Xenopus tropicalis: one gene and its partner. The protein of the gene in region 2 purifies or fractionates together with the protein of the main gene of each other region. This does not show direct contact. Links are inferred from orthologs where the notes say so. Each region holds a gene or a part of one and is shown on either strand. Other genes may lie near its edges. The genes, in order: mob2.1 and stk38l.

Region 1 (3,804 bases), on a different chromosome or scaffold from region 2:
ACGTGAATCCTGTGCATCCTATGAATCTATGTTGGGAGGGGGCACAGTGAGATGCTAGACAACATGCAAAGGCACAATGTATCGGAAGAGGACGTTGCACTTTAAGGGGTCCGAAAGGACAATGGACAGGCAGGGGGCATGATACAAAAGTCATCTTAGAGTTTATTAAAGTGACAGTGACAATGATAAATGTGGCACTATCACTTTAACCCTCTACGATGAGCTGCAAGGGGGCGGGGGGGGTAGAACAATTAGCGGCTGTGCATAAAATGCCCCATGTCGACTCCAATGGAAAACTCCGTCCACATCGTCTAATAGAATCTGTTTTATTATTAATATTATCATTATTTAACAGATAAACTAAAAGAAGCCAACAGTATTTATCCACCCCAATGAGGGGCGAGCATCCTGCTTTCCCCCATCCCCATGGAGTCGGGGAGAGAAGTTGTTGCCCAAGGATGGGGCGGGCGCGGGAGAGCGGATCCAATTCCGGAGCAAGAGGCCACACAAGGTGCCAGGAAGGAGCCTCGTACACTTCCAGCCCTGGCTGCTCTCCGCCCAATCATCCGACTCAGGAGCCTCAGACATTTCTTGGAAAACCACAGCAAAATAAAATAGAAGATGCAAATCTTTCCTGGGGGATAAGAGAATGAAGCCGGACACGGCATTGCCACCCATGATGAGAGGGGGAACGAAAGAAAAGACGGGAGGGAGGGAGATGAGAAAGAAACAAAAACAAGGAGGGGGAGGGGAGAAAGAGACAGACGCAAACACAAAATAAAAATAAGGTGATACTCGGTGCAACTTTCTGCTAAAGATAAGAGCGAGGTTTGCTCCTCCCTCAGGCCGGGGTATAACAGCCAGTGCTCCCTTCCTACACCCCCAAGGCTGGCAGCGCAGGTCCTGAACCCCCTCCTCCCCTGTGCTGTAAGCCAGGAGGTAAGCCAGCTCTCGGTAGGGGGTGGGGCACGCTGGGAAGGGGCAGTGGTGGGACAGGAATAAGGACATTAAGGGGGGGACTCATCTCTCCTTCACGTGGTTCTGTGCCTCCCCCGTAGCTCCCACAGCCTCCCTGTTTTCCTCCGAGAAAAGGACTTCCGACAGGTCGTCCAGTATGGAGGTCTCCTTGGGGTCCAGTAGGCTGAACTCCCGCACGAATAGGAGAAAGTGGATAAAGAGAGTGTTTAAGTGTCCGTGCAGCTCCAGGGCTGTGATTTCCTTGAAATGCGCAGAGTAGATGTGAGCCAGAACGTGGAATAGGTATCGGCAGATCTTCTTAATCAGCGACTCAAATGAACTAGGGAATTCCCTGCCTGCGAGAGGGAAATAGCACGTAAATCCGCCATCCCGAATATCAGCCAATCAGAGCAATGATGGGTGCCATAGGCCCATTCAAATCAACAGGGTGTCCAGTCTGGTTACTGCTCTTATATCTCTGGGTCAGTCAGTGGCAGCTGCCATGGCAACCAACAAGCACCATGTACCCATGCCAATGACTTACCAGTCCTACTGCCTCCCAAGGAAATGTATAGGAAACCTGTGTGTCCTACTCCTAATAACCCTGAACCCAAAATGAAAGGGGAAACAAACCCTCTTACTCACCGTATTTGGTGGGAAACACATCCTCATCCGTCACCAGCTTCTGTACAGAGCTCATGACGAAATCAATGTACTGTGGGGCTGTGCACTTTAACTTCTTACCCCGCTCGTCATACCAGTAGTACTGTCTGTAATGGGAGAAAGCACAGGGAAAGGGTGTTATACTGGGGGGCAGATATCCATATACAGCAGGGTAAGGGGAGAGTAGGGCTACCCCAAAAGGAACAAGGAGGCGGCCTGAGTAGGGTGGGCAGGAGGAAGGTGCCGCCAGGGGCAGAATACAGAGCCCGGCCGCCAGGGGCAGAATACAGAGCCCGGCCGCCAGGGGCAGAATACAGTGCCCGGCCGCCAGGGGCAGAATACAGTGCCCGGCCGCCAGGGGCAGAATACAGTGCCCGGCCGCCAGGGGCAGACTACAGTGCCCGGCCGCCAGGGGCAGTCTACAGTGCCCGGCCGCCAGGGGCAGTCTACAGTGCCCGGCCGCCAGGGGCAGACTACAGTGCCCGGCCGCCAGGGGCAGACTACAGTGCCCGGCCGCCAGGGGCAGACTACAGTGCCCGGCCGCCAGGGGCAGACTACAGAGCCCGGCCGCCAGGGGCAGACTACAGAGCCCGGCCGCCAGGGGCAGAATACAGAGCCCGGCCGCCAGGGGCAGAATACAGTGCCCGGCCGCCAGGGGCAGAATACAGTGCCCGGCCGCCAGGGGCAGAATACAGTGCCCGGCCGCCAGGGGCAGAATACAGTGCCCGGCCGCCAGGGGCAGGCAGGTTGGTTATGAGTAGTACATGTAGCAGGATACACCGGAGGGATGTTGCTCACTAAAGCCTTTGTCGGCACACAGGACAGATGAATTCAGTCAAGTGCAACATTTTGGGCAGATGCCCCCTCAACAAGTGTAGTGGTGATCCCCCTGAAAAGCTGCATTTAACTATAAATCACGCAAGGGCTTCGCCACTGCCCTGTGAGACGGAGGTGGCCATTAAGGTGGGTGTCGAATCCTCCATTACTGAGGGTCAGGCCTACGATCCTAGGGGGCAACGGTGCAAAGAGGGGTTTGTTATTGCGAGGAAGAATAAACTCACGTATTGCAGGCAGCCATAGTCTGGCAGGTCTCCCCCGTGCAGAATTCTGAGATGGTGCTGTACTGAAGGTTAATGTGGTTGAAGAAAGTTGTAACTGAAATACAGAGGGGAAAAGCAGGTCAGGTGGAAGAATAACACTAGGTGGCGCTAGTGCTGGAGTACTAAGGGCCACAAGGCTGGGACCCCTCAATTATACACTAATGCATCCCCTTAAAGGAAAAGGAAAGGTAAAATCACCATGGGGTATTTCTGCAAGTACCACCGAATGATCATTTCTTGCTACTTATTTCTCGCGCTCACTCAGATGCACCCGGGCTGATGCAGTTTTCTGCTAACAGGAACACCCGCCGGGGGTATCAGGTAAGTGAATATAATCACTGGGGGGGGTGCCTAACATTTGGCAATCCCTCTTTTACACAGAAGGTGCAGAGCTCGGGGATACAATGAATGCCCACTAAGTACGAGCTCCAGCTGCGATTGCGCCCCCTGGTGAGCAATGTACAACCTGCACCTTCCATGGTGGGAGCCCCTGCCAGGGCAGCAGGGCACAAACACTGACAATGCTGGGCACAAAGCGGGGTAAGGATACAATATGGCGAAAAGAAACCTCTGCCCCTTGCCACCCTCTTCAATGAGCCCCTATAATACAATAATCTCTCGGGGAGCCACCCCAGCCTGCGCAAGGGGCACGCACCGTTACTGGCCAGCCACTCATTCAGGTCGATCTCCTGCGGCAGGGTCACCAGCTGCTTGAACTCCACGTCTGTGACTCGGACCCGGGTATATTCTGGTTCCAGGTACAACTTCTTCTCCTCCGACGCTGGCTTCTTCCCATTCGGCTTTCCCTTCGATTTCCTGCAGGAGATAAAACAGTTTGTGTGGGACTGTGTGGCGCAATGTGTTGTTGGGGTACTGAGGTGCATCTGGGAGCCGCGCATGCACCACACGGTTACCTAGCAGGTGTAACGGCCAATCAAGTCAGCCTGTGTTCTGGCCCAGACAGGACTGTACAGGAGGCGGCCCTGGCCGGCGGGGGGGGGGGGGGGGGCAAGTACATACCCTAAGTGTATAGGGCAGCTGCACTATATTACAGCACAGTGACTGGCACTGATGGGGTTAAGGG
Region 2 (4,594 bases):
ACCAGACGTACCTGTTCTTTCTCCAGCATGTCAGCCTTGCGTAGGATCTTCATGGCATAGATGTGCCCGGTGTCCTTCTTCTGAACAAGGCGGACCTGCAATTGGTCGATTTTTATTAAAAAATGTATCCGTGGCTTTCCCAGGATTCAGTAGGGAGGGGACGGTGGGGCAGAAGCACTATCTGCCCCTTCTGGTTCTGACTCTTGAAACAACACAATGAAAGTCGGATCTCCTCCATCATCTGGCTACTACTACATTGGTTCAGGAGTCAGAACAAGCAGTGCAGAGAACATAAACTACTGAATAGCAAATACATTTCCAATTTTTTTAATACCAATTTGGGCAATTTCCCCTTTAAAGATGTCGATTTAGAAAGTTGCTCTCGGCCGGATAGAGAGAGACACCCACCTCTCCGAAGGCTCCTCGGCCGATGACTTTCAAGGACTCAAAGTCTTCCAGGCCCAGCCGGGTCCTCTTCAGGCGCAGGAACTCAGTTTCCTTCCGGGCGTGTTGCGACCGGCGCATTTTTTTCTGTTGGGGCAATTGGTCAGATCGAGAGTTTCAATGAACTGATGTACAACTGGGACTGTCACCCACAGGCATCATGGGACCCTAAACTACTAACCAGGGGGGTCACCGGGGGCCCCCACCAACAAGTAAAATGTGGATTCAATGTCCCTCTCACTCTGCCACATATTCACCCTACCCATGCCAGTCCACAAAAGCCCCGCCCCTATTGTAAGCCCCCATTTTTCCAACTTTCCACGTCGGGACCCCCCTTCTACCATGACTGCAGAACCCCCTATACTACTTATACTTTTTTTTTTTTGGGGTGTTGCTAATCCGTTAACAGATTCTGCATTCTGCCACTAGGGGGAGCATTCAGTGAATCCAAACAGCTGAGGGACCTTGAGGCTAAACTCCTTGGAAGCCGGCAGTGCTGCAAAGGCCAAAAACGTTGGGGAAATCAGCCCTGGCTACTGCCTAGGTAAGTGCATTCTCTTAAAGGGGTAGGTTCATCTTTAAGTTAATTTTTAATATGTTTGCTTTTTTTTTTTTTACAGTTTTTGAATTATTTGTCTTTCTCTTCTACATCTTTCCTATTCACTTTAATTCACTCTAAATAATTAAAAATGATTTATCTTTCTATTCAGTCCCTCTCCTATACATATTTCAGTCTCCAGTTCAAACCCATGTCTGGTTGCTATGGTAAACAAGGCCCTAGCAACTAGATAGCTGCTGAAATACCAAACACATACACTGCTTCTTTATGTTCAATGAAGCATAAGACTTATATTATAATGTCCCTTTAGGGGTGGGCCCTTCACCCCCCCCCCGTCCGACCCTGCGTGCAACAATCGGGGGAGGGCATTTGGGGGGGCAAATATAGTCAAATAACACCAAATAAATTACCTCGTCGTCTCCTAAGCCCTCCTCTTCCATGGCGACCTCCAGCTTCTTCTGCCTGTAACACACACACACACATAATATCATCAGTCTGATCTAGTGACTGCTGCAGACTGTACTACTTTAAAAGTCGTCCTGCGCAGCATAAAGTCATCTGCAGCCTGTGGGTTTCCTGGCTGTTTGGTCTAAGGAATGACCCCAACAGTACTATAATAACCTGGGGGGGGGGCAAGTGAGCCTGCCCAACCCTCGGCCAATAAGAAGGAGTGCGGCCGAGAGCGAATCACAAGCTGAATCTCCACAGATTTGTGGATGTGAAACATCAATGCACAGGAATCAGCAGAGCAAAATAGCAGATCAGAAAGTTCCTCTGAGGTTACAGAGTCAGAACTGTTACTTATTGCAGCTCCTGGTTTTGGAATTTGAATCACTATCTGGTTGCTAGGCATACTAACCATGGTAACCAGTCAATGGTTCCAGTGATAGGATAAATAGGGGACCCAGTGCTGCTCCTGCCTTAACAAGGTTACAGATATATAGAAACATTGGGGTAACAGTCACCCCGCTATAGTTCCAGGGGTACCCAGGGCACAAATAAGCACTCACCCCAAATCCCCCCCTAACTGGCCTTCAGGCTGGGCCCCCTTAGCCCATAACAAGGTTACAGATATATAGAAACATTGGGGTAACAGTCACCCCGCTATAGTTCCAGGGGTACCCAGGGCACAAATAAGCACTCACCTCAAATCCCCCCTAACTGGCCTTCAGGCTGGGCCCCCTTAGCCCATAACAGGGTTACAGATATATAGAAACATTGGGGTAACAGTCACCCCGCTATAGTTCCAGGGGTACCCAGGGCACAAATAAGCACTCACCCCAAATCCCCCCCTAACTGGCCTTCAGGCTGGGCCCCCTTAGCCCATAACAAGGTTACAGATATATAGAAACATTGGGGTAACAGTCACCGCGCTATAGTTCCAGGGGTACCCAGGGCACAAATAAGCACTCACCCCAAATCCCCCCCTAACTGGCCTTCAGGCTGGGCCCCCTTAGCCCATAACAAGGTTACAGATATATAGAAACATTGGGGTAACAGTCACCCCGCTATAGTTCCAGGGGTACCCAGGGCACAAATAAGCACTCACCCCAAATCCCCCACTAACTGGCCTGAGCTAGATGCTGTGGGATCTCCCAATGGGCCAATCAGAGCGCAGTTGGATATCGGGGGGATGCTGGGTGCTGGTACCACAGTCCCACAGACAGTAAGAGAACCCCCTATAAAACATTTCCCATGATACCCAGAACCCCCCGAGCCCATAAGTGCCGGTACCGGGTCTCTCGCTCCTCGTGCTGCAGGATCAGGTTGCTATAGAAAGTCTCCAGAGTGAGTTTGGCCACGGTGACCCGCTCCCGGGTGTGGCTGCTCATTGGACAAGACGTCGGGTTCGTCGCTGTCATTGCCATAGTAACGGTGCCTGTGAGGAGACAGAAAGAGCCCAATGACCCTGGTGCTGCCTGGCCCGGTACCTACTACTACAAGCCCAGGGAAGAGCCTCCCAGCAGGGCCGGTGGGTGGGTAATGGGATGGGAGGGGCAGAGGTTACAAAGAATCCCTGTAAGTTTAATAGGGGAAAAAGGGGAAGGTGCCCCCCCCCACCCGGGACATTAGCGCCACAAGGAGCCAGTGTTACAGCTCAGGGTGGGGCCCAAATATCCCCCGGCTGCTGGTGATTGGCTGGGAGCAATTAGTGCAAACCTCGTGCTACGTGCGCTCTGAGCCTCACTCACCTGCACCCCTGTCTGGCACTCACTGAGCAGCACTCACTCACCCACTGAGCCTCACTCACCTGCACCCCTGTCTGGCACTCACTGAGCAGCACTCACTCACCCACTGAGCCTCACTCACCTGCACCCCTGTCTGGCACTCACTGAGCAGCACTCACTCACCCACTGAGCCTCACTCACCTGCACCCCTGTCTGGCACTCACTGAGCAGCACTCACTCACCCACTGAGCCTCACTCACCCACCCACTGAGCCTCACTCACCTGCACCCCTGTCTGGCACTCACTGAGCAGCACTCACTCACCCACTGAGCCTCACTCACCTGCACCCCTGTCTGGCACTCACTCACCTGCACCCCTGTCTGGCACTCACTCGCCCACTGAGCAGCACTCACTCACCCACTGAGCCTCACTCACCTGCACCCCTGTCTGGCACTCACGCACTGAGCAGCACTCACTCTCTCACTGAGCAGCACTCACTCACTGAGCAGCACTCACTCACCCACTGAGCCTCACTCACCCACCCACTGAGCCTCACTCACCTGCACCCCTGTCTGGCACTCACTGAGCAGCACTCACTCTCTCACTGAGCAGCACTCACTCACCCACTGAGCCTCACTCACCCACCCACTGAGCCTCACTCACCTGCACCCCTGTCTGGCACTCACTGAGCAGCACTCACGCTCTCACTGAGCAGCACTCACTCTCTCACTGAGCAGCACTCACTCTCTCACTGAGCAGCACTCACTCTCTCACTGAGCAGCACTCACTCTCTCACTGAGCAGCACTCACTCTCTCACTGAGCAGCACTCACCCACCCACTGAGCAGCACTCACTCACCCACTAAGCAGCACTCACTCACCCACTAAGCAGCACTCACTCACCCACTAAGCAGCACTCACTCACCCACTAAGCAGCACTCACTCACCCACTAAGCAGCACTCACTCTCTCACTGAGCCTCACTCACCTGCACCCCTGTCTGGCACTCACTGAGCAGCACTCACTCGCCCACTGAGCAGCACTCACTCACCCACTGAGCCTCACTCATCTGCACCCCTGTCTGGCACTCACGCACTGAGCAGCACTCACTCTCTCACTGAGCAGCACTCACTCACTGAGCAGCACTCACTCACCCACTGAGCCTCACTCACCCACCCACTGAGCCTCACTCACCTGCACCCCTGTCTGGCACTCACTGAGCAGCACTCACTCTCTCACTGAGCAGCACTCACTCTCCCACTGAGCAGCACTCACCCACCCACTGAGCAGCACTCACCCACCCACTGAGCAGCACTCACCCACCCACTGAGCAGCACTCACCCACCCACTGAGCAGCACTCACCCACCCACTGAGCAGCACTCACCCACCCACTGAGCAGCACTCACCCACCCACTGAGCAGCAC

Evidence for each region.
Region 1: the proteins of stk38l (region 2) and mob2.1 purify together in Homo sapiens (affinity purification with mass spectrometry; 9 studies listed by BioGRID and IntAct, counting the BioPlex papers as one, with this or other methods). This does not show direct contact. The link is inferred for Xenopus tropicalis from reciprocal best matches to the Homo sapiens genes STK38L and MOB2.

What each region holds. Positions count from the first base shown.
Region 1 is NC_030680.2:21,630,591-21,634,394, forward strand, and holds the end of mob2.1 (MOB kinase activator 2), read right to left. Parts: intron 3,537-3,804; coding exon 3,376-3,536; intron 2,776-3,375; coding exon 2,682-2,775; intron 1,728-2,681; coding exon 1,603-1,727; intron 1,314-1,602; coding exon 1,021-1,313; 3' UTR 313-1,020; downstream 1-312. UniProt on the Homo sapiens protein: Stimulates the autophosphorylation and kinase activity of STK38 and STK38L.
Region 2 is NC_030679.2:3,011,378-3,015,971, forward strand, and holds the start of stk38l (serine/threonine-protein kinase 38-like), read right to left. Parts: upstream 2,887-4,594; 5' UTR 2,872-2,886; coding exon 2,738-2,871; intron 1,466-2,737; coding exon 1,414-1,465; intron 532-1,413; coding exon 409-531; intron 96-408; coding exon 12-95; intron 1-11. UniProt on the Homo sapiens protein: Involved in the regulation of structural processes in differentiating and mature neuronal cells.